Linked DNA regions of Macaca mulatta. The protein of the gene in region 1 purifies or fractionates together with the protein of each later gene. This does not show direct contact. Links are inferred from orthologs where the notes say so. Each region holds a gene or a part of one and is shown in the gene's direction. Other genes may lie near its edges. The genes, in order: SOX2, BAG2, SQSTM1, ARID1A, DNAJA2, CCT3 and COP1.

Evidence for each region.
Region 2: the proteins of SOX2 (region 1) and BAG2 purify together in Homo sapiens (affinity purification with mass spectrometry; 3 studies listed by BioGRID and IntAct, with this or other methods). This does not show direct contact. The link is inferred for Macaca mulatta from reciprocal best matches to the Homo sapiens genes SOX2 and BAG2.
Region 3: the proteins of SOX2 (region 1) and SQSTM1 purify together in Homo sapiens (affinity purification with western blotting; 3 studies listed by BioGRID, with this or other methods). This does not show direct contact. The link is inferred for Macaca mulatta from reciprocal best matches to the Homo sapiens genes SOX2 and SQSTM1.
Region 4: the proteins of SOX2 (region 1) and ARID1A purify together in Homo sapiens (affinity purification with mass spectrometry; 3 studies listed by BioGRID and IntAct, with this or other methods). This does not show direct contact. The link is inferred for Macaca mulatta from reciprocal best matches to the Homo sapiens genes SOX2 and ARID1A.
Region 5: the proteins of SOX2 (region 1) and DNAJA2 purify together in Homo sapiens (affinity purification with mass spectrometry; 3 studies listed by BioGRID and IntAct, with this or other methods). This does not show direct contact. The link is inferred for Macaca mulatta from reciprocal best matches to the Homo sapiens genes SOX2 and DNAJA2.
Region 6: the proteins of SOX2 (region 1) and CCT3 purify together in Homo sapiens (affinity purification with mass spectrometry; 3 studies listed by BioGRID and IntAct, with this or other methods). This does not show direct contact. The link is inferred for Macaca mulatta from reciprocal best matches to the Homo sapiens genes SOX2 and CCT3.
Region 7: the proteins of SOX2 (region 1) and COP1 purify together in Homo sapiens (affinity purification with western blotting; 3 studies listed by BioGRID). This does not show direct contact. The link is inferred for Macaca mulatta from reciprocal best matches to the Homo sapiens genes SOX2 and COP1.

Annotation. Positions count from the first base shown.
Region 1 is NC_133407.1:93,814,923-93,818,310, forward strand, and holds SOX2 (transcription factor SOX-2), read left to right. Parts: upstream 1-1,544; coding exon 1,545-2,504; downstream 2,505-3,388. UniProt on the Homo sapiens protein: Transcription factor that forms a trimeric complex with OCT4 on DNA and controls the expression of a number of genes involved in embryonic development such as YES1, FGF4, UTF1 and ZFP206. Binds to the proximal enhancer region of NANOG.
Region 2 is NC_133409.1:125,106,466-125,109,985, reverse strand, and holds the end of BAG2 (BAG family molecular chaperone regulator 2), read left to right. Parts: intron 1-1,271; coding exon 1,272-1,684; 3' UTR 1,685-2,496; downstream 2,497-3,520. UniProt on the Homo sapiens protein: Co-chaperone for HSP70 and HSC70 chaperone proteins. Acts as a nucleotide-exchange factor (NEF) promoting the release of ADP from the HSP70 and HSC70 proteins thereby triggering client/substrate protein release.
Region 3 is NC_133411.1:188,832,390-188,836,618, forward strand, and holds part of SQSTM1 (sequestosome-1), read left to right. Parts: intron 1-696; coding exon 697-926; intron 927-1,020; coding exon 1,021-1,162; intron 1,163-1,954; coding exon 1,955-2,035; intron 2,036-4,229. UniProt on the Homo sapiens protein: Molecular adapter required for selective macroautophagy (aggrephagy) by acting as a bridge between polyubiquitinated proteins and autophagosomes.
Region 4 is NC_133406.1:214,212,856-214,217,084, reverse strand, and holds part of ARID1A (AT-rich interactive domain-containing protein 1A), read left to right. Parts: intron 1-2,690; coding exon 2,691-2,898; intron 2,899-4,064; coding exon 4,065-4,197; intron 4,198-4,229. UniProt on the Homo sapiens protein: Involved in transcriptional activation and repression of select genes by chromatin remodeling (alteration of DNA-nucleosome topology).
Region 5 is NC_133425.1:42,412,226-42,416,454, reverse strand, and holds part of DNAJA2 (dnaJ homolog subfamily A member 2), read left to right. Parts: intron 1-321; coding exon 322-455; intron 456-3,161; coding exon 3,162-3,358; intron 3,359-4,229. UniProt on the Homo sapiens protein: Co-chaperone of Hsc70. Stimulates ATP hydrolysis and the folding of unfolded proteins mediated by HSPA1A/B (in vitro).
Region 6 is NC_133406.1:110,602,183-110,606,411, forward strand, and holds part of CCT3 (T-complex protein 1 subunit gamma), read left to right. Parts: intron 1-3,411; coding exon 3,412-3,598; intron 3,599-4,229. UniProt on the Homo sapiens protein: Component of the chaperonin-containing T-complex (TRiC), a molecular chaperone complex that assists the folding of actin, tubulin and other proteins upon ATP hydrolysis.
Region 7 is NC_133406.1:33,461,809-33,466,037, reverse strand, and holds part of COP1 (E3 ubiquitin-protein ligase COP1), read left to right. Parts: intron 1-1,462; coding exon 1,463-1,580; intron 1,581-2,532; coding exon 2,533-2,657; intron 2,658-3,840; coding exon 3,841-4,001; intron 4,002-4,229. UniProt on the Homo sapiens protein: E3 ubiquitin-protein ligase that mediates ubiquitination and subsequent proteasomal degradation of target proteins.

The DNA of each region.
Region 1 (3,388 bases):
AAATGCCAGGGCTGGTTCTGCTCGAGTCCTGGGAACTCTGCGTGGGAGGGAGTTTGTGACTGCGGCCCAAAAGCCACCTCCGTACAGTGCCGTGGGATGCCAGGAAGTTGAAATCACCCTCCCCCATCGCCTGCACTTTTGAGCGCCCTTCCGTCTGTCTCTTTCTCCAGCCCCCATTTGAAACCCGCACGACCGAAACCCTTCTTTCAGGGAGGCATGGGATGGGAATGGGGAGTGGGGGGAGACAGTAGGAGCATCCCCTTTGCTACGGTTGAATGAAGACAGTCTAGTGGGAGATGTGGCTGGGGCTAAGAGGAAGAGCTGCAGTTTCCTGGGCCAAAGAGCTGAGTTGGACAGGGAGATGGCAGCTTACCAAGGCCTGCCGGTTCTCAGCTCTAGAGTCGGCCTCATGGTCCGAGCAGGATTTATTTTTAAGAACAGAGCAACGTTACGTGGAAGCAAGGAAGGTTTTGAGGACAGAGGTTTGGGTCTCCTAACTGCTAGTCGGGACTGTGAGAAGGGAGTGAGAGTGTTGGCACCTGTAAGGTAAGAGGGGAGAGCGGAAGAGCGCGGTACGGGAGCGGCACCAGAGGGGCTGGAGTTGGGGGGGGGAGTGCTGTGGATGAGCAGGAGAACAATGACACACCAACTCCTGCACTGGCTGTTTCCAGAAATACGAGTTGGACAGCCGCCCTGAGCCACCCACTGTGCCCTGCCCCACCCCCGCACCTTAGCTGCTTCCCGCGTCCCATCCTCATTTCAGTACCCTGCACCAAAAAGTAAATCAATATTAAGTTTAAAGAAAAAAAAAACCCCCACGTAGTCTTAGTGCTGTTTACCCACTTCCTTCGAAAAGGCGTGTGGTGTGACCTGTTGCTGCGAGAGGGGATACAAAGGTTTCTCAGTGGCTGGCAGGCTGGCTCTGGGAGCCTCCTCCCCCTCCTCGCCTGCCCCTTCCTCCCCCGGCCTCCCCCGCGCGGCCGGCGGCGCGGGAGGCCCCGCCCCCTTTCATGCAAAACCCGGCAGCGAGGCTGGGCTCGAGTGGAGGAGCCGCCGCGCGCTGATTGGTCGCTAGAAACCCATTTATTCCCTGACAGCCCCCGTCACATGGATGGTTGTCTATTAACTTGTTCAAAAAAGTATCAGGAGTTGTCAAGGCAGAGAAGAGAGTGTTTGCAAAAGGGGGAAAGTAGTTTGCTGCCTCTTTAAGACTAGGACTGAGAGAAAGAAGAGGAGAGAGAAAGAAAGGGAGAGAAGTTTGAGCCCCAGGCTTAAGCCTTTCCAAAAAATAATAATAACAATCATCGGCGGCGGCAGGATCGGCCGTAGGAGGAGGGAAGCTCTTTTTTGATCCTGATTCCAGTTTGCCTCTCTCTTTTTTTCCCCCAAATTATTCTTCGCCTGATTTTCCTCGCGGAGCCCTGCGCTCCCGACACCCCCGCCCGCCTCCCCTCCTCCTCTCCCCCCGCCCGCGGGCCCCCAAAGTCCCGGCCGGGCCGAGGGTCGGCGGCCGCCGGCGGGCCGGGCCCGCGCACAGCGCCCGCATGTACAACATGATGGAGACGGAGCTGAAGCCGCCGGGCCCGCAGCAAACTTCGGGGGGCGGCGGCGGCGGCGGCAACTCTACTGCGGCGGCGGCGGGTGGCAACCAGAAGAACAGTCCGGACCGCGTTAAGCGGCCCATGAATGCCTTCATGGTGTGGTCCCGCGGGCAGCGGCGCAAAATGGCCCAGGAGAACCCCAAGATGCACAACTCGGAGATCAGCAAGCGCCTCGGAGCAGAGTGGAAACTTTTGTCGGAGACGGAGAAGCGGCCCTTCATCGACGAGGCTAAGCGGCTGCGAGCGCTGCACATGAAGGAGCACCCGGATTATAAATACCGGCCCCGGCGGAAAACCAAGACGCTCATGAAGAAGGATAAGTACACGCTGCCCGGCGGGCTGCTGGCCCCCGGCGGCAACAGCATGGCGAGCGGGGTCGGGGTGGGCGCCGGCCTGGGCGCGGGCGTGAACCAGCGCATGGACAGTTACGCGCATATGAACGGCTGGAGCAACGGCAGCTACAGCATGATGCAGGACCAGCTGGGCTACCCTCAGCACCCGGGCCTCAACGCGCACGGCGCAGCGCAGATGCAGCCCATGCACCGCTACGACGTGAGCGCACTGCAGTACAACTCCATGACCAGCTCGCAGACCTACATGAACGGCTCGCCCACCTACAGCATGTCCTACTCGCAGCAGGGCACCCCTGGCATGGCTCTTGGTTCCATGGGTTCGGTGGTCAAGTCCGAGGCCAGCTCCAGCCCCCCTGTGGTTACCTCTTCCTCCCACTCCAGGGCGCCCTGCCAGGCCGGGGACCTCCGGGACATGATCAGCATGTATCTCCCCGGCGCCGAGGTGCCGGAACCCGCCGCCCCCAGCAGACTGCACATGTCCCAGCACTACCAGAGCGGCCCGGTGCCCGGCACGGCCATTAACGGCACACTGCCCCTCTCGCACATGTGAGGGCAGGACAGCGAACTGGAGGGGGGAGAAATTTTCAAAGAAAAACGAGGGAAATGGGAGGGCTGTAAAAGAGGAGAGTAAGAAACAGCATGGAGAAAACCCGGTACGCTCAAAAAGAAAATGGAAAAAAAATCCCATCACCCACAGCAAATGACAGCTGCAAAAGAGAACACCAATCCCATCCACACTCACGCAAAAACCGCGATGCCGACAAGAAAACTTTTATGAGAGAGATCCTGGACTTCTTTTTGGGGGACTATTTTTGTACAGAGAAAACCAGGGGAGGGTGGGGAGGGCGGGGGAATGGACCTTGTATAGATCTGGAGGAAAGAAAGCTACGAAAAACTTTTTAAAAGTTCTAGTGGTACGGTAGGAGCTTTGCAGGAAGTTTGCAAAAGTCTTTACCAATAATATTTAGAGCTAGTCTCCAAGTGACGAAAAAAATGTTTTAATATTTGCAAGCAACTTTTGTACAGTATTTATCGAGATAAACATGGCAATCAAAATGTCCATTGTTTATAAGCTGAGAATTTGCCAATATTTTTCAAGGAGAGGCTTCTTGCTGAATTTTGATTCTGCAGCTGAAATTTAGGAAAGTTGCAAACGTGGAAAGAAGAAAATTATTCAGATTTGGACATTTTAATTGTTTAAAAATTGTACAAAAGGAAAAAATTAGAATAAGTACTGGCGAACCATCTCTGTGGTCTTGTTTAAAAGGGCAAAAGTTTTAGATTGTACTAAATTTTATAACTCAACTGTTAAAAGCAAAAATGGCCATGCAGGTTGACATCGTTGGTAATTTATAATAGCTTTTGTTCAATCCCAACTTTCCATTTTGTTCAGATAAAAAAAAGAACATGAAATTACTGTGTTTGAAATATTTT
Region 2 (3,520 bases), on another chromosome or scaffold:
AAAAGGGTGAGAATGGAAGCAGAGAAGTAGAGACCAAAAAAAAAAAAAAAAAGATGAATTGAGGTACAACATAAAGAGAGGGACAAAATGCAGAGAAAATGAGGAAACTTGTAGGACCAGTAAAAGGCATGAATGTAAAAATGTGCTGTCATTTTCTTTTTTCTTTTTATGAGATGGAGTTTCACTCGTCACCCAGGCTGGAGTGCAGTGGCACGACCTTGGCTCACTGCAACCTCCGCCTCCCGGGTTCAAGTGATTCTCCTGCCTCAGTCTCCTGAGTAGCTGGGATTATAGGCGCCTGCCACCACACCTGGCTAATTTTTGTATTTTTAGTAAAGACAGGGTTTCACCATGTTGGCCAAGCTGGTCTCGAACTCCTGACCTCAGGTGATTTTGCCTGCCTCGGCCTCCCAAAGTGCTGGGATTACAGGCATGTGACATCACGCCTAGCCTGTGCTGTCATTTTCATGTGAAGAACATGTAATAGGTAGGAATAGGTCACTTGTGATTTTCTTTTTATTGGCACTGGACTTCCTACTTGGGCTCCTTTGGTGCCACACAGGCCACATGTTACTGGGCCAAGTGACTGGTGAGATAAGTAAGCAATCTAAATCCAGATCAAAACTGTTACACATCTATGGTAGGCCATGATCTAGTCTCTACACTGTCCTGCCCAAAGATCAATGAATTAGGAAGTTACAGAAGCAGGAGATTGCTGACTTTTTCATATAAATAATGAAATGTTGATAGAGCTCCTCATGCCGGTCAAGACTTTAGACCACTGTCCTGTTTCTATCTGGAGAAGCATGAAGTCAGTGCCTAGTATTGATGCCAGCTTATCTTCTATCATGGCTATATTTTCTCAACCAAAATTTGGGGCAGTGTATTCTGATAAATGCACATGTCGTTATGGAGAGATCTGGGACATCTGATCTCTGGAGCTGTACCCAACATAAATCCTATATGTGCTTACTGCTCAAAGGGTTAAGACTTGATCTCCATCCCAGTTACAAATGCATACCTACCCAAACTTTTGCAAACATGCCAATTTGAGAAGTCATCTAGTATCCCATATATAAAGATTGTCAGGAAATGGTATTCTACAACCTCTCTCTGTAATCTAATACATTTCATCAGTTAATCTTACATGCTATAATTTTAGCTTGTATCTTTAAAAAAATTTCATAGCAGATACTTAATACATTTAGTCACAAATGCCTTAATGTTCTTGACACAGATAAGTTTATGTCTCATATTGATTGACATTTTAGGAGAAAGAGAAGAATTAAATCTGACTGCAAACCGTTTGATGGGAAGAACTCTCACCGTTGAAGTGTCAGTAGAAACAATTAGAAACCCCCAGCAGCAAGAATCCCTAAAGCATGCCACAAGGATTATTGATGAGGTGGTCAATAAGTTTCTGGATGATTTGGGAAATGCCAAGAGTCATTTAATGTCGCTCTACAGTGCATGTTCATCTGAGGTGCCACATGGGCCGGTTGATCAGAAGTTTCAATCCATAGTAATTGGCTGTGCTCTTGAAGATCAGAAGAAAATTAAGAGAAGATTAGAGACTCTGCTTAGAAATATTGAAAACTCTGACAAGGCCATCAAGCTATTAGAGCATTCTAAAGGAGCTGGTACCAAAACTCTGCAACAAAATGCTGAAAGCAAATTCAATTAGTCTTCAAACCCAACAGCATTTACACAATACACATGGTGTAAAAATGATAAAATACTATTTTAATTGATAACTAGTTCTTTATGTTAGATATAACCACTTAGTTGATACTGACAGTTGTTTCAGATGAGGAAAATATTCCATCAAGTATCTTCAGTTTTGTGAATAACAAAACTAGCAATATTTTAATTATCTATCTAGAGATTTTTTAGATTGAATTCTCATCTTGTACTAGGATCTAGCATATTTCACTATTCTGTGGATGAATACAGTTTGTGGGGGAAAACAAGTGTTCAGCTAGGGGCAAAAGCATCACTGCTTTTTCCTGTGCTTTGGCGTGGAATCACGCAGTCACCTTGGGCATTTAGTTGACTAGAAATTCTTTACCTTAAGCAGCACACACATTTACTACACACAGTGTTAACAAAGCACTGTGCTTAGAGGGATAAAAAGGAATCACAAAACAACAGTCTTTCCAAAGTTGTCTCATTCCTCAATGTTAAGGCATCTATATCAAATTATTTTGGATGTAAAGATTCCTGTGTCTCATAATATGAATGTATTTTTTGATATACAAGAAACTATGACATAAAATGTGAGAAAACCACCTATAATTTGCCACTGTGAACAATTATATATCTGCTTCATCTTTTCTCAAATGCATCAATTCTCTAGAATTCCTATATTGTAACTTGCCTTTTTAAAAAAGTTAGATGCTGATATAAAGCCTGCTTGTCAACTTAATGAGCTCTATTTTGTGTAGTTATATCTTTCTTTATCCATTCCCATCTTACGGACATTTAGGTTGCTTCCAGCTTGTTGCTATTACTGCAACATATTTTTGTACGCAGGGCTTTTTCCTTCTTTTGTTTTCAATTTTCTCTGTATAAAGGCCCAGCAGTGAATTATATTGGATCAAAGGGTATAGACATTTTCATGGCCTCACACACTTATTAAAAATTTTTTGTACAAAGGTTATAGCAATTTATACTTTTTTCAGTAAATAAAATATAGCTATTTCACTGAACTCTTTCCAGCACTGAGCATTAACACTTAGTTTGCATTTTGTTTACTAAAAAGGTTGACCAGTGTGTTGATTCTTCTTTTATCTGTGATAAAGTGAAGCAACTAGAGAACACTTATTTGTTTAAAGTAACTAGTCCTGTTGATATAAACGCAACAACTTCCCTAGATACTATTTTGAAATGAACACATCAATTTTTATTTCAATGTAGGTATTCTTCACACTGAAAAACCAAATCAGGATCCAAACTGATTTTATATATGTCTCTCTCTCTCAATGCAAGCAATATTGAACTTCTTTTTCTCTACAAAAATGCCAAGTTAGTCTCTTTATAAAAAGCAGTTAAAATCTGAAGACATTTGTGTTACTTCCTTTGCCAGCTCCAACTCTGCCTTATTTAAATCTTTCCATTTCATGGGAAACATTAATTCTATCTATGGCAAAGCCACTTGGTTTGTTAGCAGACTCTGATTTGCTGTCATCAGGCTGTGAGATGATTTTTTTGTGTGCATCATTTTTTTCTTGACCAGCTTTTTGAAAATTAAGAAATGGATAGTCAGGTTTTCTTCAAGTTCTCAAGTATTGTCAGCATTCGTAAATCCCTTCCACTCTGGGAACTACTACTGCTCCCTGCTTCCCATGGCTTCCACATCAGCCCAGGACTTTTTCTACCACAAATTATTCTGGTTCTGCCTCCTTGACCTTGGTATTCTTAGCATTGTTTTTCCCATTTTTTTTGCAATGGAGTTTTTTTTTGGAGGTCATTAATTTCTGATCACAGACTTGAAGAGCTATGATCCACATTTCCAAGCTGC
Region 3 (4,229 bases), on another chromosome or scaffold:
ACAGGGACGTAGGCCAGGTGTGGTGGCTCACGCCTGTAATCCCAGCACTTTGGGAGGCCGAGGCGGGCAGATCACCTGAGGTCAGGAGTTTAAGACCAGCCTGGCCAACATGGTGAAACCTTGTCTTTACTAAAAATACAAAAATTAGCTGGCTGTGGTGGCGTGTGCTTCTAGTCCCAGCTACTCAAGAGGCTGAGACCAGAATCGCTTAAACCTGGAGAGCAGAGGTTGCCGCGAGCCGAAATCACTCTGCACTCCACGACTGCAGATCACGACTGCACTCCAGCCTAGGTGACAGCGTGAGACTCTGTGTCAAAAAAAAAAAAAAAAGACATACTAAGTGCTGTGCCTGACCTGACCTGACCTGAGAAAGAGGAGTCCGTGTTCACCCTAGGTATGGGGTCTGCTGCCGCGGTGCTTGGGTGAAGAGCAAGGCCCAAGTCATGCAGCCCGGGCTCCTTGCTGCTGCTCTGCTGCCTGGGCCACGGTTCCCAGGTAACAGACACAGGGACTGGGAACCTCCTAGCAGGTTCTTGGTTGCTCTGCCGCCCTCACCTAAGCAGCTGAATTCTGTGTGGACTCCATGCTGGGGAGCAGTTCCAGGGGCCTTGCTGGCAGTGACAGCCCCACAGTGATGATAGAGGGGGAGCACTTTAGGGGGCCGCACCCTAGCAGCTCTCTCTGCCCTTCCTGCAGAGAAAAAAGAGTGCCGGCGGGACCACCGCCCACCGTGTGCTCAGGAGGCGCCCCGCAACATGGTGCACCCCAATGTGATCTGTGATGGCTGCAACGGGCCCGTGGTAGGAACCCGCTACAAGTGCAGCGTCTGTCCAGACTACGACTTGTGTAGCGTCTGTGAGGGAAAGGGCTTGCACCAGGGACACACCAAGCTCGCGTTCCCCAGCCCCTTCGGGCACCTGTCTGAGGTGAGCAGGCCCTCTGGGCAGGCCTGGGGTGGGCTCAGGGTGGCAGGAACCTTGACCCGCTCACTGCCTGCCCCTCTGCTAATTCCTCCCCCAGGGCTTCTCGCACAGCCGCTGGCTCCGGAAGCTGAAACACGGGCACTTCGGGTGGCCAGGATGGGAAATGGGCCCACCAGGAAACTGGAGCCCACGTCCACCTCGTGCAGGGGATGCCCGCCCTGGTCCCACGGTGGAATCAGGTGAGGCTTGCATTGGAACCGGCTTCTGAATGGTGACAGTAGTCAGGCAGCCTGTGCGCAGAGCCCTTGTGCAAAGCCTGTGTGCAAGGCAAGATACCTCCCCACCTTCCTGGTGTCCTACAATCGCACAAGAACCTGCAAAGTGGGGAGTATTCTCTGCATTTCCCAAACAGGGAAACTGAGGTGTGAGTGCCTGAAGCCACAAATTCACCTGCATAGCCCTTCCCCCTCAGGAGGCTGCCCTGTCCAGGTGCCGTGAGGTGCAGGCAGGGAGGCCCTTCCAGCCCAGAGTTTCTGATGCACTTTGTTCTCTTTTGTGATGGTTGTCGAAGATCAGAGCCCAAGTTTCTCAAGTCCTTTTAAACATAGTTGTAAGTTAAAGACTTACCCTTAGCTTTGTAGTCTAGATTTTTGGATTCTGATTTTATTAATGTTACTGTGTCCTGTGAATCACCCCACCCTCTGGGACAAAGATGGGGATGTTTGCTTGACTTTGAGTAAATATTTACTCAAGGATGTGATCAATATTCACAGTGTACCGAGCCTGAGCCTGTGTGGGGTTGCTGAGCACCAGGGTCGCAGATGAGGGGGAACGGCGTGCGAGAGAGGAGAGGCTCTCGGTGCAGGGCCAGGGGGTGCAGAGTGGGAGGGAGGAGAAGGGGGATGCTGAGTGGGCCCCTGGACAAGGCGTCTGGGTTAAAGGTCACCCAGGAACACAGGGACCTTGGCAAGAAGGTGACAGGTATCCAAGGCATTAAAGATATCTTTATCTTATCTTTGTAAAAATCAAAGCTGCTGGTCCATCGGAGGATCCCAGTGTGAATTTCCTGAAGAACGTGGGGGAGAGCGTGGCAGCCGCCCTTAGCCCTCTGGGTGAGTGCACCTCCTTGCCCAGCGCTTGCCTAACTCAGCCTGCACTTTGTCACTTTCACCGGGAATACCGCAGAGAAATGGGTAATTGACATGCCCTTGACACTGGTGAGGGTTTGTTGCCTCAAGTCAACCTTTACTAAATCCTGGACCACAGGCAACTCACTCACGGTTGAATTCCCTGACAGAATTCTCAAGCTTTCTACATGGAGTGAAGTAGAATCAGCATTTGGTTGGGACAGTCCCAGTGAGGCAGGGTCACCAGGGTCTGGCTGTAGGGCTTGCCTGTCACCTCTGACTGGCCTCCTTTGGGTGAACAATAGTCTGCATTTTCCCCTAAGCCAGGCCTTGGGATTTGGACTTTTGAGGACCTGGGTAGTAGTAGAGATGCTATTTATCTTTTCCTTCTTTTAGTTTACAACCCCCAAACCTTTCCAGTGCTTCTGGGCGCTGGGCCTGCATCAGAGCGGGGAGAAGGTGGAGGCAGGTACTCTGGGTGACAGCCAGTTCTGGTGCCTCAGGTTGCACAGTGGGTCTGCTGGGGTGGGCAAACCCCAATGTGTACCCCCAGAGTGGTGCCACCTGACCCCAGGCATGAGCTCAGGCTCTGAGACCCCTCCCCGCTGGGCTTTAGAAAGTGCTTGTGTCTGGCTAAGGGTCTGGGGTGGGTGCTGCAGGGTTAGGCACGCGGCAGTAAGAATCAGTGAATGAAGCCAACTTCTAGTTCAAGATGACGGTGGATCCGTGATGGCAGATGGATCGCTGGGACACTTGCATCTCTCTAGAAGAGTGAGCTTGTTTTTGCGACTGCAGTGGCAGGCTGTGTCAGTCTGTCCAAAGGTTGTGTTCAGTGTCTGAGAGAATGCTGCCAGGAGGGGCATCCGAACCCTGCCTGCTGCCTCCTGTGGCTACAGGGCATGACTGCCATCTGCTCCAACTCTGCTCATTCCAGGTTTTTTTTTTTTTTTGAGATGGAGTATTGCTCTGTCGCCGAGGCTGGAGTGCAGTGGCGCGATCTCTGCTCACTGCAACCTCCACCTCCTGGGTTCAAGCGATTCCCCTGCTTCAGCCTCCTGGGTAACTGGGATTACAGGTACCCACCACCACGCCCAGCTAATTTTTGTATTTTTTTTGGTAGAGACGGGGTTTCGCCACATTGGCCAGGCTGGTCTTGACTCCTGACCTCGTGATCCACCCGCCTTGGGCTCCCAAAGTGCTGGGATTACAGGCGTGAGCCACTGCGCCCGGCCTTGCTCATTCCACTTTGAGGCAGCAGTGACATCTTGGCATTGCTGCTGTACTAAACAGCCCAAACACATATGGCTTCTGTACTAGAGTTTAGAGGCGAAGTCAGAGAATAGGAAAGAAGAATCGCTATTCTGGTTTTTTTGTTTGTTTTTTGAGATGGAGTTTTGCCCTTGTAGCCCAGGCTGGAGTGCAATGATGTGATCTCGGCTTGCTGCAACCTCCGCCTCCTGGGTTCAAGCGATTCTCCTGCCTCAGCCTCCAGAGTAGCTGGGATTACAGATGCCCGCCACCACGCCAGGCTAATTTTTGTATTTTTAGTAGAGACGGGGTGTCACTATGTTGGCCAGGCTGGTCTCGAACTCCTGACCTCGTGATCCACCCGCCTCGGCCTCCCAAAGTGCTGGGATTACCGGTGTGAGCCACCGTGCCCAGCCTAGAATCAGTATTCTTAATGCCTTCGAAGGAGGGTAGAACAGTGGAGCACTGAGATCATGACTGAGAGATAGGCTGTGCCTCAATCCTGCAACTCACTCTGGGCATAGTAAAGGTCAGAAAAATTGCAGGTGAATTTGGAGGTTCGAACAAGAGTCCTTCACTCAAAGAACAAAGGAGGAGACATCCTGGGAAGTCACAGAAGCAAGTGTAGGTTCAGGTGGAGACTTTAAGAGAGTGCAGATCCCCAGACCTTACCTGTTTTGGTTGTGGTAAGTGGGTGTTGGTGGGGCCTGGGATCTGTCTGGGAGGCTGCCCAGGTGCTTGGGGTCACACTGTCTCAAGACCCGCCTGTGCTGGTGCAGCATCTCGGCGTCAGAACTGAACTGGACGCCCCACTTGGCACAGACAGGAATCATCTTGCAAGTGCTCAGATGTCTTTGAGCACTAAAAGCTAAAGGCTCAAAGTGGGTAGAATTGCTTTCTCCTAACCAGGGAGGAGCCTGCGGCTCTACAA
Region 4 (4,229 bases), on another chromosome or scaffold:
CCTAGGAGGCAAACAGGTGAGGCAGCACAGGCAGACAGCAGACTGTGCCTTGCAGACTTTCCTCCTGTGTGTGTTCTGTAGTCACCAGACCAGAAGCCTGCTGTTGGATCAGTTTGTGGCTGAGCTCGGGGAGGCGTGGCAGGGAGGGACTTATTCCAGACCTTCTAAATCAGAAGAGGAAAACAGCTGTCACCAGCAGAAAAGAAAGTGATTGGAATGAAGCCAGCCAACAGTCAGTTACGAATTCCTTCTCCCTTCAGGCTTTATTCCCCTCCCCCACAAAGGAAAACAAAACAAAACAAGACACGTGCATACTGCCACATAACTGGCATGAGAAGCAAAGCCATGGAAGGCTTTTGAGGTGACTCCATGTATATTCCTGCCATTCTCCCTGATACTCAGATCTCATAGTCAAGTCTTCCCTGCCTATAGGGAAGGGGAGCTTTGGGTTAGGTTTCGCTCGCTTCTGATTGGGTGAGCTTCAGGGTTCACTGAACCTAGGATGAGATACAGAGAGAATTCTGATGTCTGAGTCTCTTCCAGATTGCAAAAGGATGCAAACCTTTAAAATGCCTTGTAATTGAACTTTTAAAAGACAGTGATAATTCAGGGGCAAAAGAGTGCTTTTTATAAGTTAGTTTATGAAGGCTCCAAGAAAGCAAAGCTGCATCTTGAGCTTATCTAAAGGATTAGTAGGGTTTAGGTGGAAGAGTGGCCAATCCAGTAGACTGGCCTAGATGCCACGGAGATGGGAGAGAGTCTGGATATTTCCCACCAAAGCCGTTTCCAACCATGAAGACTTAGCTCAGGTGTTACCCACTCTAAGAAGTATTCCTAGTCACCTCTGCCCCATCTAGGTTGTCCCCCTCTGTGCCTGTTGAAACTCCTCTTTCTAGTGTCATGGGTACCGTATCAGCAGACATTACGACTTACTGAACTTCCTTTGTGTACAGGGACTGGAAAACCCTTGTTCCCAGGCCTTGGGGGAACAGATTTACCATATGGTAGATGAATAAGCGTAAGAATACATGAAGAAGGAGACCTGTCCATCTAGAGCAGAAAGACTAATTGTAGGGAGCATCTGGGGAATGGGCTTGGTCAGTGTGCCCTAAAGCTGAGGGAAGGAGGCAGAACTGTAGGTTGGCTGCTGGGGAGGTACAAAAGTCATAATAAGGCCGGGCGAAGTGGCTCATGCCTATAATCCCAGCACTTTGGGAGGCCGAGGCGGGCGGATCACGAGGTCAGGAGATCGAGACCATCCTGGCTAACATGGTGAAACCCCGTCTTGTCTACTAAAAATATAAAAAATGAGCTGGGCGTGGTGGCGGGCGTTTGTAGTCCCAGCTACTCGGAGGCTGAGGCAGGAGAATGGCATGAACCTGGGAGGCGGAGCTTGCAGTGAGCCAAGATCGCGCCACTGCACTCCAGCCTAGGTGACAAAGCGAGACTCCGTCTCAAAAAAAAAAAAAAAAAAAAAAAGTCATAATGAGGCCCTGGGCCAGGCACAGTGGCTCACACCTGTAATCCCAGCACTTTGGGAGGCTGAGATGGGCGGATCATCTGAGGTCAGGAGTTTGAGACCAGCCTGGCCAACATGGCCAAACCTTGTCTCTACTAAAAATATAAAAATTAGTGGAGCATGGTGGCAGGCGCCTGTAGTCCCACTGCTTGGCAGACTGAGGCAGGAGAATCACTTGAACCCAGGAGGAGGAGGTTGCAGTGAGCAGAAATGGCGCCACTACACTCCAGCCTGGGTGACAAAGTGAGATTCTGTCTCTAAGTAAATAAATAAGACCCTGAACACCTGGACCATCAGGACAGTGACTGGTAAGGGAAAGGGATCTGCGGTTATTTGTCAGTGAGATATGTTAGGGGAGCCAGTGGCACAAGAATGTCAAATTTGCAGGGAGCACCATGCCAAGAAAAAAATCAGATGTGTAAATTCTCAGTTTAACAAAGCAAGTCAAGCAGGGTGGTCATTGATACTATCACGAGTCTCCATTTTATAAAATGTTAGTTTTTATTAGTGCATTTAAAATAGGATTTAGGGCCAGGCACAGTGGCTCATGCCTGTAATCTCAGCACTTTAGGAGGCTGAGGCGAGTAGATGACTTGAAGCCAGGAGTTTGAGACCAGCCTGGCCAACATGGTGAAACCCTGTCTCCACTAAAAATACAGAAATTAGCCAGAAGTGGTGGTGCACGCCTGTAATCCCAGCTACTGGGGAGGCTAAGATAAGAGAATCGCTTGAGCCCGGGAGGCAGAGGTTGCAGTGAGCTGAGATCGTGCCACTGTATTCCAGCCTAGGCGACAGAGCGAGATTTATTTTTTCTGTCTCAAAACAAAAAAAAAAAAAAAAGGATTTAGATATGCAGATGATTTGTACACCATTTTTCAGCAGTGTACTAAAAAACTGGACTCTGAATTCTGTTCCAGTAGTAATGTGAAATTTGCCCTGTTTTGCATAAGCACAGTCTGATAGTTGCAGTGGAACATCCTGAGGGTAAAACGAAGCCAGCTGCAGATTAGCACTTCTTGTGGAGTATCCACCAAGCAAGTTTAACTTTTTTAATTAACTAAGAACTGTGATTTTACAAAGATGAATACCTTGCAGCCTGATGGGGCTTGGGACTTTCGGGCAGAAAACCAGGCGGGAGATATACCCCGACTCTTTTGGTTTGATTATACAGGTCAACAAGAACAAAAAATGGCGGGAACTTGCAACCAACCTCAATGTGGGCACATCAAGCAGTGCTGCCAGCTCCTTGAAAAAGCAGTATATCCAGTGTCTCTATGCCTTTGAATGCAAGATTGAACGGGGAGAAGACCCTCCCCCAGACATCTTTGCAGCTGCTGATTCCAAGAAGTCGCAGCCCAAGATCCAGCCTCCCTCTCCTGGTAAGGATGGGGTCAGTGGCCCCACCAAGGCTGAGAGGGTCTGTTGCCCTGGCCTCATATTCAGTGGTACCTGCCTCCAGTAGGATATGCCAAGGATCTGTGCTCTGCCTTGCCCTACCACAGGGCTTAATAGGTTGGCTGACTAGAGAGTGGGCAGTGGAAACTCCCTTGGGAGGTACTCTGCAGCAGCCCTTAAAGTTTTACTTTTTGTCGTGCAGCTGGCAACTTGCCAAATGTTTGTAAAGTTGTGAATGGGAGGGGCACAAGAGGAGTTGAGGGAACTGACAAATGGCAGCAAGACAGGGCCATCTGGGAGCTTTGGCCCCTTGATGTCAGCACCTTAGAATGCAGCTCAGACTAGAGCCCTGAATTCCCCAGGGAGCTGAGATGGTAATGAATGGAAAGGAGGGAGTGGGGAAAGGATATGAATGGAACTCCCTGATGGGAGTGCCTCTGCCCACCCTCCTTTCTGAGAGGAGGCTGAGGCCTAGGGCGAGCCTAGAGAGGGAAGAAGACCAGGGTGCCTGGAAGGTGGGTGTAAACACATGTGCCCTGGTGTTGACCTCTGAGGGTGTAATGAGTGCCTGAGATGACTCATCAGCTGGGGAGGCCTCAGCAGTGGGATATCTACTGCCAGGAATGGTAACTATTGGAAACATTAATTACTAGTAGTTTTGTACTCATCAGCTTAGAAGAACATTTGAACTTGAGAGATGACACCAAGCTGGATGCTTCAGAACAGGAGCTCCTAGACTCCTAAAATACATCCCAGATTTGGAAGCCCCTCCCTACCCAGGATTTGGGAGGTTCTGACTGGAGCTCATGCACCAGCATTACAGGGTTTAATAGGTTAGACAAGGTCCTTTGGAGGAGTGAAAAGAAATAGCCAGGGAAGCTGGCAGTGACTCAAGGAATCACCAGCATGGTGATGTCATGGCCACATCACTCCTCTTTTCTACATGTAAAACAAAAACAAAGAGCTACAAAACCCTCAAATTCCCGTCTTCATGACCTGGCCTTGTAGATCCTCTGCTAAGAAGGGTGATCAGGCTTTAAAGGCCTTAGGAAGAACTTTCCCAAAGAGATTCTGGGTCATTCGTGTGTTTGTGTGAGAGTTAAACACTTTCATGCCAAGCAAACTGCTCAAATTGTATCTCTGTCCACAGCGGGATCAGGATCTATGCAGGGGCCCCAGACTCCTCAGTCAACCAGCAGTTCCATGGCAGAAGGAGGAGACTTAAAGCCACCAACTCCAGCATCCACACCACACAGTCAGATCCCCCCATTGCCAGGCATGAGGTATGGCCAAGAGCAGGGGCAGATGGTTGGGA
Region 5 (4,229 bases), on another chromosome or scaffold:
CACTTTGGGAGGCCGAGGTGGGTGGATCACCTAAGGCGGAAGAATCACTTGAACCCGGGAGGTGGAGGTTGCAGTGAATCAAGATTGCGCCACTGCGCTCCAGCCTGGGTGACAGAGTGAGACTCCATCTCAATCAATAAATAAATAAATCTTAGCAGAACGTTTTCTGATACTTCTGAAAGTCAATTTAAACACAAGTTATTGTGTTTAAATACAAGTTATTGGGGTTGAAGTTAAGGTAAAAGTACAATTTCTGTGTGTCATAGCTTATTGGAGTGGTCTGTGGACAAAAACCTAATGCATAACTTGTGTTTGCTTTAGCCAAGGTGGAAAGTCTGGAGCTGTCCAGAAGTGTAGTGCTTGTCGAGGTCGGGGTGTGCGCATCATGATCAGACAGCTGGCTCCAGGAATGGTACAACAGATGCAGTCTGTATGCTCTGATTGTAATGGAGAAGGTATGTGTGCCAGTACTTCTCTGCTTTTATGTTGAAATGGATTGAGAATGCAGATATTGGAGAGGTTTTCAATTTTTTATTTCAAAGGGTATTTGTTTACATCTTATTAAAGAAAAAGGAGGCCGGATGCGTTAGCTTATTCCCATAATTCCAGCACTTTGGGAGACAGAGGTGGATTGCTTGAGCCCAGGAGTTCGAGGCCAGCTTGGGCAACATAGGGAGACCTCATTACTATAGGAAAAAAAGTGTAGAAAAATATGTAATCAGGAGCTCAGGGCATGTCTGTGGTCCCAGCTGCCTGGGAGGCTGAGGCGGGAGGATTGCTTGAGCCCGGGAGTTCAAGGGAGCAGTGAGCCGTGATCATATCAGTGCACTCCAGCCGGGGTGACAGAACAAGACCCTGTTGCAAAAATAAAAGCGTGAAAGTAATTACTCCATTATGCCTAAGCCCAGTGAATGTAGAGAAACAGTAGATTTGTATTGTGTTAGTGAAAGGTGACTCCTTAATTCTGAAAAGAGGGGCAAGGTGATTATTTGTTCCTTTGCTATTTCCTTCTTTATCAAATATAACCTTTTATATACTGTTTCTGTAGAAATGACCACCATGGGAGGACTTTCTCCTTTCTCAAGTAGAACCTTTTAAACTACAAAGGGACAAATAAATAATAACTAAACAAGTAATTGTTTAGTTACTCTGATAAGTAGAAGATTTTACTGTAACCTTTAGTTAGCTTTAAAGAATTGATTTTGAGATTGAAACTGTCCTCACAGAAGTAAATAATTTAGTCTTTGTGGGCCAAATAGTTTTTGTCACAACTACACACCTCTGACTTTTAGTGCTTTTATAGCCACAGACAAATGGGTATGGCTGTGTTCTGATTAAAATTTTAATTATAAAAACAAGTAGCTCCTCCCACCCCTGCCATTCTAGAGCAGTGCTATCCAATAGAATTTTTTTCTGTGGTGATGGAAATGTTCTGTATCTGCAGTGTTCAGTACAGTAGCCATTAATCACCTGTGACTACTGCATACTTCACATGTGGCTAGTGTGACTGGGGAACGATTTTAAATTTGAATTAATTTAAACATAAACTTAAGTAGCTACAGGTAGATAGTGGCTACCACATTAGACAGTATAGTTCAAGAGCATCCTTTTCCACATTGCTATTGGAAGTGATGAGATAATTATGAGAAGCTACATATGATGTTTGCTTCCTGGATAATCTTGGCATTTTACTTTATTTTTTAAAATTATTATTATTTTTGGAGATAGGGTGTTGCTGGAGTTCTGTGGCGCATTCTCGGCTCACTGCAGCTTCCACCACCCACGCTCAAGCAATCCTCCCACCTCAGCCCCTCACCCCACAATTAGCTGAGACCACAGGTGCTTGCCACCACGCCCAGCTAATTTTTGTATTTCTTGTAGACACTGGGTTTTGCCATGTTGCCCAAGCTGGTCTTGAACTCCTGGATTCAAGCAATCCTCCTGCCCCAGCCTCCCAAAGGGCTGGGATTACAGGTGTTAGCCACCACTCTTGGCCTCCTTTTATTTTATTAAAATTGCTAACTCCCACTATCAAGAAACCAAAGTTAACTGAAATCTTTTCTCATGTACCATTACTTTTTTTTTTTTTTTCCTTTTTTTTTTTTTTTTTTAAATGTGAGACAGTCTTGCTCTGTTGCCTAGGCTAGAGTGCAGTTGCGCGATCTCAGCTCACCGCAACCTCTGCCTCCTGGCTCAAGTGATTCTGCTGCCTCAGCCTCCTGAGTAGCTGGGATTACAGGCGCCCGCCATGACACCCGGCTGATTTTTGTATTTTCAGTGGAGACAGGGTTTTGCCATGTTGGCCAGGCTGGTCTCAAACTCCTGACCTCAGGTGATCCTCCTACCTTGGCCTCCCAAAGGGCTGGGATTACAGGCGTGAGCCACCATGCCCCGCCACCATTACCATTTTGAAGAACTGGTGTTTCGCAGAACATACTTTGCAAAAGTACTGTTACAGAAACAGCCCCTAAATAATCAGTTATACACATCTTTCTAAGCCTCCAAATGTGCCAGTAATTAGCCATTAGAAAGTGACGCAATTTTTTCACACTATACTATGTATAATCACAGTTTTGCTTTTTTATACCATAATTAAATATTTCAGAAGAATATATAGAAGAGAAAAGCCGTGTTGCCCTAAACATGGTATGGATACATTACATTCTGAAATAGTGGGAAGCTGAGTCCTTCAGGCAATCTGCAGTAGTAAGATGTAAGTTTTTGTTATTCAGAATAATGCTTTTTTTTGTTTTGTTTTGAGACATGGCCTCACACTGTTACCCAAACTGGGGTGCAGTGGCATGAGTATAACTCACTGCAGCCTCGACCTCCAGCAGTCCTCCCTCCTCAGCCTCCCGAGTAGCCAGGATTACAGGTGTGCACTACCATGCCGGCTAACTTTTTTTATTTGTAGTAGAAGCAAGGTCTCACTGTATTGCTAGGCTGGTCTCAGATCCTGAGCTCAAGTGATCCTACCACCCTGACCTCGCAAAATACTGGGATTGCAGGCTCGAGCCACTATGCTTGGCCTCAGAATGCTGCTTTGAATAAAAATTTAGGTAGCTATTAAAAGAAATTCAGAAAGTATATTTAAAGGATAAGAGTATTAAAGAGTACAGTATAGTACTCTTGCTGAAAGTTTCAATGACTTCTTTTTCCAGGAGAGGTAATTAATGAAAAAGACCGCTGTAAAAAATGTGAAGGGAAGAAGGTGATTAAAGAAGTGAAGATTCTTGAAGTCCACGTAGACAAAGGCATGAAACATGGACAGAGAATTACATTCACTGGGGAAGCAGACCAGGCCCCAGGAGTGGAACCTGGAGACATTGTTCTTTTGCTACAGGAGAAAGAACATGAGGTGATTTTCCTTTTTTTAGTTTTTTGTGTTTTGTTTTATTCAGAAGTACTTCTTGTTTGTGAGAAATAGGTTAGATCTGTTTGGAGTCCCTGGAGCAACACTGCACACTGGAGAAGTTAAGGGAATCATGGCAAGTTCCTAAAGACAGGCTTGTGTAAGAAAGACTAACAAGGCAGGTGCCGTTAGAAGCACTATAAGAGTCAGTTTTAGTCCTGGCTTGGTTTTTTTTCCCCCCCACCCGAGATGGAGTTTCACTGTTGTTGCCCAGGCTGGAGTGCAGTGGCGTGATCTCGGCTCACTGCAACCTCTGCCTCCCGGGTTCAAGCGATTCTCCTGCCTCAGGCTCCTGAGTAGCTGGGAATGCAGGCGCGCACTACCACTCCTGGCTAATTTTTATTTTTAGTAGAGACGGGCTTTCTCCATGTTGGTCAGGCTGGTCTTGAGCTCCCGACCTCAGGTGGTGCACCTGCCTCAGCCTCCCAAAGTGCTGGGATTAACAGCGGGAGCCACTGCACCCAGCGTTGGTCTTTTTTTTTTTGACGGAGTTTTTTTGACTGCACCCAGGCTGGAGTGCAGTGGCGCAATCTTGGCTCACTGCAACTTCCGCCTCCCAAGTTCAAGCGATTCTCCTCTAGCTTGGTCGTTGACTAGTACTTTAACCGTAGGTAGTCTTACTGTCTCAGTTTCTTTGTTTATGAAAATAAGGGCACTGGGCGTTGGACCAGTTGGTCTAAGGCAGCCTGTTTTTTCACTGTGAAACTCTGCTGCTCTGTTGATTTGGTTTTTACTTATTGGGTAGCCAAGTGAGCTATCCTTGAAAGAGTTCTAGGATTTAAAAAAAACAAAACAAAAAAAACATTTTTTTTAGAAG
Region 6 (4,229 bases), on another chromosome or scaffold:
TTAAAAAGTAAAACTTGGCAGGGCCCGGTGGCTCGTGCCTGTCTGTAATCCCAGCACTTTGGCCAAGGTGGGCGGATCACGAGGTCAGGAGTTAGAGACCAACCTGGCCAACATGGTGAAACTTCGTCTCTACTAAAAGTGGAGAAAATTAGCTGGACATAGTGGTAGGTGCCTGTAATCCCAGCTACTCAGGAGGCTAAGGCAGGAGAATTGCTTGGACCCAGGAGGTTGCAGTGAGCTGAGATTGTGCCACTGCACTCCAGCCCAGGCGACAGAGTGAGACTGTCTCAAGAAAATAAAAAGTAAGACCTGGACTGGGCGCGGTGGCTCATGCCTGTAATCTTAGCACTTTGGGAGACCAAGGTGGGTGGATCACCTGAGGTCAGGATTTCGAGACCAGCCTGGCCAACATGGTGAAACCTCATTTCTACTAAAAATGCAAAAATTAGCCAGGCGTGGTTGCATGCGCCTGTAATCCCAGCTACTCAGGAGGCTGAAGCAGGAGAATCACTTGAACCCGGGAGGCGGAGGTTGTGGTGAGCCAAGATCATGCCATTGCACTCCAGCCTGGGCAAACAGCAAAACTCTGTCTCAAAAAAAAATAAAAATCGATAATGTATTCTTTTTTTCATGCCTGACTGGAAATAGTTTGTTTGTTTTTTTCTTTTCTTTATTTAAATGTTCTACTCATATGGTTGAGTCACTAGATGCATAAGTATTTAGTAATTTGGTGAGGTTTATATTATACTGTCTGCGCTTTTTTTTTTTTTTTTTCCTAAGATGGAGTTTTTGCTCTTGTTACCTAGTCTGGAGTGCAATGGCGCGATCTCGGCTCACCGCAACTTCCGCCTCCCGGGTTCAAGCGATTCTCCTGTCTCAGCCTCTTAAGTAGCTGGGATTACAGGCATGCACCTCCACGTCCAGCTAATTTTGTATTTCTGGTAGAGACGGGGTTTCTCCATGCTGGTCAGGCTGGTCTCGAACTCCCGACCTCAGGTGATCCACCTGTCTTGACCTCCCAAAGTGCTGGGATTACAGGCGTGAGCCACCGCGCCCAGCCATATACTGCCTGCTCTTAAACAAGTTGTATACTAATATCTTTGTCTGGCACACTTAAGGAATGAAGTGTTTAATTATTTTTATGCAGTAAGCTCTGTGAGAATGTAGAGGTACCTAGAGATTTTATTGTGTGGAGCTGCACCCTTAGCTTTTTTTTTTTTTGAGATGGAGTTTCACTCTTGTTGCCCAGGCCAGAATGCAGTGGCTGGATCTCGGCTCACCTCAACTTCTGCCTTCTGGCTTCAAGCAATTTTCCTGCCTCAGCCTCTTGAGTAGCTGGGATTATAGGCATGTGCCACTAGGCCTGGCTAGTGTTGTAATTTTAGTAGAGATGGGGTTTTTCTCCAAGTTGGTCAGGCTGGTCTCAAACTCCTGACCTCAGGTGATCTGCCCACTGCCTGCCTTGGCCTCCCAAAGTGCTGAGATTACAGGCATGAGCCACCGTGCCTGGCCCAAAATATATATTTTTTAATCAAGTAATAACTGCCTACCTAGAACACTTTAGTCTTATGTAAAAACATTTTTTGGGGGGGAGTGGGGGGTCTTGCTCTGTTGCCCAGGCTGGAGTGCAGTGGCACGATGTTGGCTCACTGCAGCCTCTGCCTCCTGGGTTCAAGCAGTTCTCCTGTCTCAGCCTCCCAAGTAGCTGGGACTACAGGTGCATACCACCATACGTAGCTAATTTTGGTATTTTTAGTAGAGATGGGGTTTCACCATATTCGTCAGTCTGGTCTCAAACTCCTGACCTCAGGTGATCCACCCACCTCGGCCTCCCCAAAAATTTATTTTTTAGAGATATGGTCTCACTCTGTTGCCTAAGCTGGAGTGCAGTGGTGCAATCACAGCTTACTGCAGCCTCCGGCTCCTGGCCTTAAACAGTCCTGCCCCAGCCTCCCAAGTAGCTAGGACTACAGATGTGTCCATCACGCCCTGCTAATTTTTTTTATTTTTCATAGAGATAAGGTTTACTATGTTGCCCAGGTTGATTTTGAACTCCTGGCCTCAAGCTCTCCTCAGTCTTCCAAAGTGTTGAGATTATAGGTGTGAAGCATGGCACCCAGCCCCCTTTATCTTAGATACTACTTTTGGAGTCATTTCTTCTTCCCAAAAGTCCATAATTCAACCATTTAATAATTGGTATATTATGTGCCTTTCACTGTTAAAAGAGGAATTTGGTTTATTTTGGTGTTGTTTTTTTTTTTTGAGACGGAATCTCTGTCGCCCAGGCTGTAGTGCAGTAACACGATCTCAGGTCACTGTAACCTCTGCCTCCAGAGTAACTGGGACAACAGGCACAGGCCACCACTCCTGGCTAATTTTTGTATTTTTAATAGAGCTGGGGTTTCACCATATTGGCCAGACTGGTCTCGAATTCCTGACCTCAAGCGATCTGCCTGCCTTGGCCTCCCAGAGTGCTGAGATTACAAGTGTGAGCCACTGTGCACGGCCAAAAAAGATATTTTAGCATTATGTGAAAGTATCTTGTGAGGAGAGACTGAAATTAATATAAAAATGGAAAATACAGAAAATGTGTTTACAGTAACATAAAAACACAAAGATGACCAGTTGGTGGTCATCTTTGACCACTGTGGCACACCATGAGTTAAAAAATAAAATTTGCTGTTCAAAATGAATGATTGATGAAACTCTTAAAGTTAGCTAGTTACAGGATAGAGTTTCATAGAAAAAAAGTGTCTTGATCTGAGTTGTAAAAGTTGAAAAGTTTACTTGGTTGAAGCAGAAAATAAGGAACAAATTATTTTACTATAATCTTTGTATGTAAGTGTAAAGGGTTGCTCAGGGAATTAAGGCACTTCTACAGATGAGTTGTAATCTTGCTGAAAGGCAGAGGAATGGATAAAGGTTACCTCCTAATGTCCTTTTTGTTTCCTCCAAAAGAACAAGTCCCGGCCGGGCACGGTGGCTCAAGCCTGTAATCCCAGCACTTTGGGAGGCCGAGACGGGCGGATCACTAGGTCAGGAGATCGAGACCATCCTGGCTAACACGGTGAAACCCCGTCTCTACTAAAAAAATACAAAAAAAACTAGCCGGGCGAGGTGGCGGGCGCCTGTAGTCCCAGCTACTCAGGAGGCTGAGACAGGAGAATGGCCCGAACCCGGGAGGCGGAGCTTGCAGTGAGCTGAGATCCGGCCACTGCACTCCAGCCTGGGCGACAGAGCGAGACTCCGTCTCAAAAAAAAATAAAAAAAAAATAAAAAAATAAAAAAAAAAAAGAAAGTCCCCGTGTTCTGCCTCTTGGTCCATTATTATAGTCACTGCGGTATAGATGAGGCACATCTCTACATATCTAACATGCCTTCTTCACATATCGTCTGGTTTTCTTTCTCTAGTATCCCAGTCGACATCAATGACAGTGATATGATGCTGAACATCATCAACAGCTCCATTACTACCAAAGCCATCAGTCGATGGTCATCTTTGGCTTGCAACATTGCCCTGGATGCTGTCAAGACGGTACAGTTTGAGGAGAATGGTCGGAAAGAGATTGACATAAAAAAATACGCAAAAGTGGAAAAGGTAAACTTTCACAGTGTATACATTGGGTCAAATTATATCTTAGCATGAGTCATCTCACTTGTGAGGAAATAGTTCGTTTTTAGTGTTGTTTTGTTTTTGAGACAGAGTCTCACCCTGTTGCCCAGGCTGGAGTACAGTGGCACAGTCATAGCCCACTGCAGCCTCAAACTCCTGGCCTCAAGCAAATCCACTGATTTTCTAGGACTACAGGCACATGCCACTGTGCCCAGCTATTTTTTTTTTTCTTTTTGTGGAGATGAGGGTCTCATGTTGCCCAGGCTGGTCTTGAACTCCTGGCCTCAGGTGATCCTCCCACCTCAGGCTCCCAAAGTGCTGGGATTACAGGCATAAGCCATCGCACCCTACTTGAATGAAATAGTTTTAAATCAGGGCTAGGTATGTTTGTTTGTTTGATATGGAGTCTTGCTCTGTCGCCCAGAGGCTAGAATGCAGTGGTGCAATCTCAGCTCACTGTAGCCTCCACCTCCCAGGTTCAAGTTATTCTCCTGCCTCAGCCTTTAAAATAGCTGGGATTACAGATGCCCGCCACCACACCCAGCTAATTTCTTTCTGTATTTTAAGCAGAGACGGGGTTTCACTGTGTTAGCCAGGATGGTCTTGAACTCCTGAC
Region 7 (4,229 bases), on another chromosome or scaffold:
ATGTAAGTATGTTGAACATTGTAACATTCAGGGATTGGCAGAATGGGTTTACAAAAAAATTAGAATCCAACTTTATGCTATCTACAAGAGATAGACTTTAGATTCACAGACACACGTAGGTTAAAGTAACAGGATGAAAAAAGATACACCATGTAAGTAGTAATCAACAAAAATGGTAGAATGGCAGTATTTAGGTCAAACAGAAAATACTTAGAGTAGAAACCGGTACTAGAAACAAAGACATTTTATAATGGTAAAAGGATGAATAGTGAAAACATACATCAATTATCAACACACCTAAAAACAAACTTTTTGTAGATACATGAAAAGAAAATCTACAGTATTTAAGGGAAAAGTAGATAATTTGACTGAAGTTGTTGAAAAATACTCCACTTTCGATATTTCATAGAAAAACTGGACAGAAAATCAGCAAAGTTATAGAAGTCTTGAATAACATTGCCAACCTGACATAACAAACATCCAAAGATCACTTCATCCAACAGTAGAAGAACACACATTCTTCTCAAGCAAGCTTTAAACAGTCTCCAGGTGAGACCATATTTAAGACTGAAAAAAAGTCAATAAATTTAAAGTGAAGACATACAAAACAGTTTTCTGTCAATAAAATGATTGAAGACTTACAAAACAGTTTTCTGACCAAAATGGAATTAAATTAAAAATCAACAATAGTTGCTTTGAGACATCTGCAAGTATTTGGAAATTACATGACACATTACTAAATATCTCATTAGTCAAAGAAGAAATAACAAAGGAAATGTAAAAGGATTTTAAACTGAATGAAAATGGAAACACATCGTATCACAATTTGTGGTGTCAGCCAAAGCAATGTTTGTAGAGAATTGTGTATCCTTAAGTGTCTGTCTTTAAGAAGAGTAACAAAGCTAACTGAAGACAAGCAGAAGGAAGGAAATAATAAAGATTATCATAGAAATTAGTGATAGAGACAGACAGGAATAGAGATTGCCTATGATGGTGGATGCCAAATGAGTGATCTTATTGGAGTGCAGAAATATTATAAAACTGATTTATGGTAATGGTTGAACTGCTGGTTAAATGTAGTAAAGATCATTGAATTGCATGCAATACTTTGAGCGTGTGTATTGTATATAAAATATGTCTAATTTTTTAAAGCAAATGTGGGAAATAAGATTATATAGCATTATGTTTATCCAGATGTCCCATAATGTTTATATTAACATTTTTTAATGACGCCACTAAAACATAGATTGATTTTTAAGTTTCCAATTATTTTGACCTCTTAATACTCTCTTTCTAGAGCCAGTCTTATTTTAGAAAAGAATTCCTTTTTCTTTGTTTTCTGGCTGTTAGAGATTAGACATTCTATGTGAAACTTTTAATGAAAAAAACAAAAACCAGTTTAAATTAACTTTGCTTTCCATTTCTGCGTTTACTACATTTATCTAATTTTGTTTTGGTTTAGATCACTGTGTCCACTACTATGATCTTCGTAACACTAAACAGCCAATCATGGTATTCAAAGGACACCGTAAAGCAGTCTCTTACGCCAAGTTTGTGAGTGGTGAGGAAATTGTCTCTGCGTGAGTATTACTCCCCTCAGAGGTCAAGCTTAATACAGAGCTCTGTACTTAAACACCTACCAGTTTGTAATGTCACTGAAGATGTATGTAAACTATAATGTTGGAGTATATGTGCTTTTTCTTAAATAGTATTTTTTTTATCTTGTCCAATTAAAATAGTGTGGATTCTGGTCTGTATTGTGCTCTACTATATGTAAATTGTGGATATAATCCTGAAGATACTGGTTTTTTTATATATGCTCCCCCCTTAACTCATCCTCCTATGTTTAATTGCATTTGAACTTCAGATTGGATTTTAGCTATTGCTTCTTAAGAAGAGATAAACAACATAGTCGATGCAATATAATGAGAAGTATTTTATTTATTAAAGTCAACTAATGTGTTATTGTATATTTTATCTAGTTGCAGTATAGTGGTAGAATTATTTTTGGTTTTAAATATTACTTGGTTGGCTTTTACACTGACATGTTCATTTCTCTGTGATTTCATGGTGATTTTAAATATGTTGAAAAGAAAACTTTTTTTTTTTTTTTTGGCACAGAGTCTCGCTCTGTCACCCAGGCTGGAGTGCAGTGGCGTGATCTCAGCTCACTGCAGCCTCTGCCTCCCAGGTTCAGGTGATTCTCCTGCCTCAGCCTCCCAAGTAGCTGGGACTACAGGCACATGCTACCACTCCTGGCTAATTTTTGTATTTTGAGTAGAAACAGTTTCGCCATGTTGGCCAGGCTGGTCTTGAACTCCTGACCTCAAGTGATCTACCTGCCTCGGCCTACCAAAGTGCTGGGAATACAAGCGTGAGCCACCACGCCTGGCTGACAGATGAACATTCTAACTCAGTCTGGCTCCAGAGACTGCATTCTTAACCAGCAAACTGCATTGCCTCTAATTAGTAGTGATGAGTTTCGTGTCAAGAAATTTTAAATACATTCTTACTCTTTATACTTTTCCTCAGCTCTACAGACAGTCAGCTAAAACTGTGGAATGTAGGAAAACCGTACTGCCTACGTTCTTTCAAGGGTCATATCAATGAAAAAAACTTTGTAGGCCTGGCTTCCAATGGAGATTATATAGCTTGTGGTAAGTAAAACCATCGTTTCCAGGAACTTTTTAACAGGTATTTGTTATTGAAATTGAACTCAATGGAAATAGACTAAATATTAAGTCAGGAAATGGTGTGTGCACTTAGAAGATAGTATAATAGACATGATGCCCCAGCATTATTGATTTTCCTTGTGTTGTACTAGAAGAGCATTAGTCCTTCCCTTTTTTATTGTGTACAAACCCTGAACACCTCAAATACCTGAACACCTGATTTTTAACTGTTTTGTAGTTGTTCTCCATTATAACGTAATTCTTTAGATACTGCGTGGGAGACAGAAAAGGTTAAGTTCTGTTAGTAATATTTCCAATTTTGGAGACATTATATGTCTTCTTAAGCTTGATATTCATTTTCCCTTACCTGCTGTTCTCTCCATGAAGTAATCTATTTGCATAGTATTGATCTGTTATTCTAGGACTTTTATTGTTGATAATTTATACAAATTTAAATAAGAAATAGAAAAATCAAATTTGATATTATTCAAATGCTCTGATATATCTAATGCCTGAATATATGAGCTTTGATCATACTTTTAAATGACTTGGCCTTTATTCAGCAAAGTTGACTTTCTCCACATGTGTATGAGACTGCCAAAGCAAATATCTGGAACAATTATCCTATCTTAATAGATGGCTCAAAAATACAGTTCATAGACCATTAATCAAATAATTCCTATACTGAGAAATGGAAATAAATTGTGTAGGCTATTAAAATCTGCCTATGTAAGTGTTGCCAGTTTCTTTTACCTCTCTAAGTGGAAATCTTTCTAAATGTAATTTCAGATTCTTGCTATAATAACATATTTCTGGTTCTACTATAGACTGTTAGCTTGGTGCAGAAGTTAAAAGTAATGACAAAACCCACAATTACTTTTGCACTAACCTATATAAATGATTTTTATAGGGTAATTTTAGCCTCGGAATTATCAATATTGTCATATCATTTAACATTGATTGTTTCTTTAGATCAGTAAAGTATAGCTTTTGTCCAAGAATCCTTTTCTTACATGATTTCTAATTAGTCCTGTAATCTAGCCTTTCAAATTTGACCATAAAAGATCTTTGAGCTAAAACTTTGGGTGATAATTACTATTAGAATGTGATGTCCTAATTCCGAGTTTTCCTATTCTAAAATATTATTATTATTATTATTTGTTTTCAGGAAGTGAGAATAACTCTCTGTACCTGTACTATAAAGGACTTTCTAAGACTTTGCTAACTTTTAAGTTTGATACAGTCAAAAGTGTTCTGGACAAAGACCGAAAAGAAGATGATACAAATGAATTTGTTAGTGCTGTGTGCTGGAGGGCACTACCAGATGGGGTAAGTTTTCATATCAGTTTTTTCACCTTGGGATCTCCTATTATGCATTATGTATACACAGGGTTTGATTAAATTTTAAAATATAAATTGGTGTGTGGTATGTACTATTTTTAAAACTTTGTAATGTGTCACCAAAGACAATAGGCATTTTAGGTAGTGATTGAAATGCACAGTAATAGAGCAATGTAATGGTGTCATCATGTCCCTCTGTGACCCATAGCATCTAGT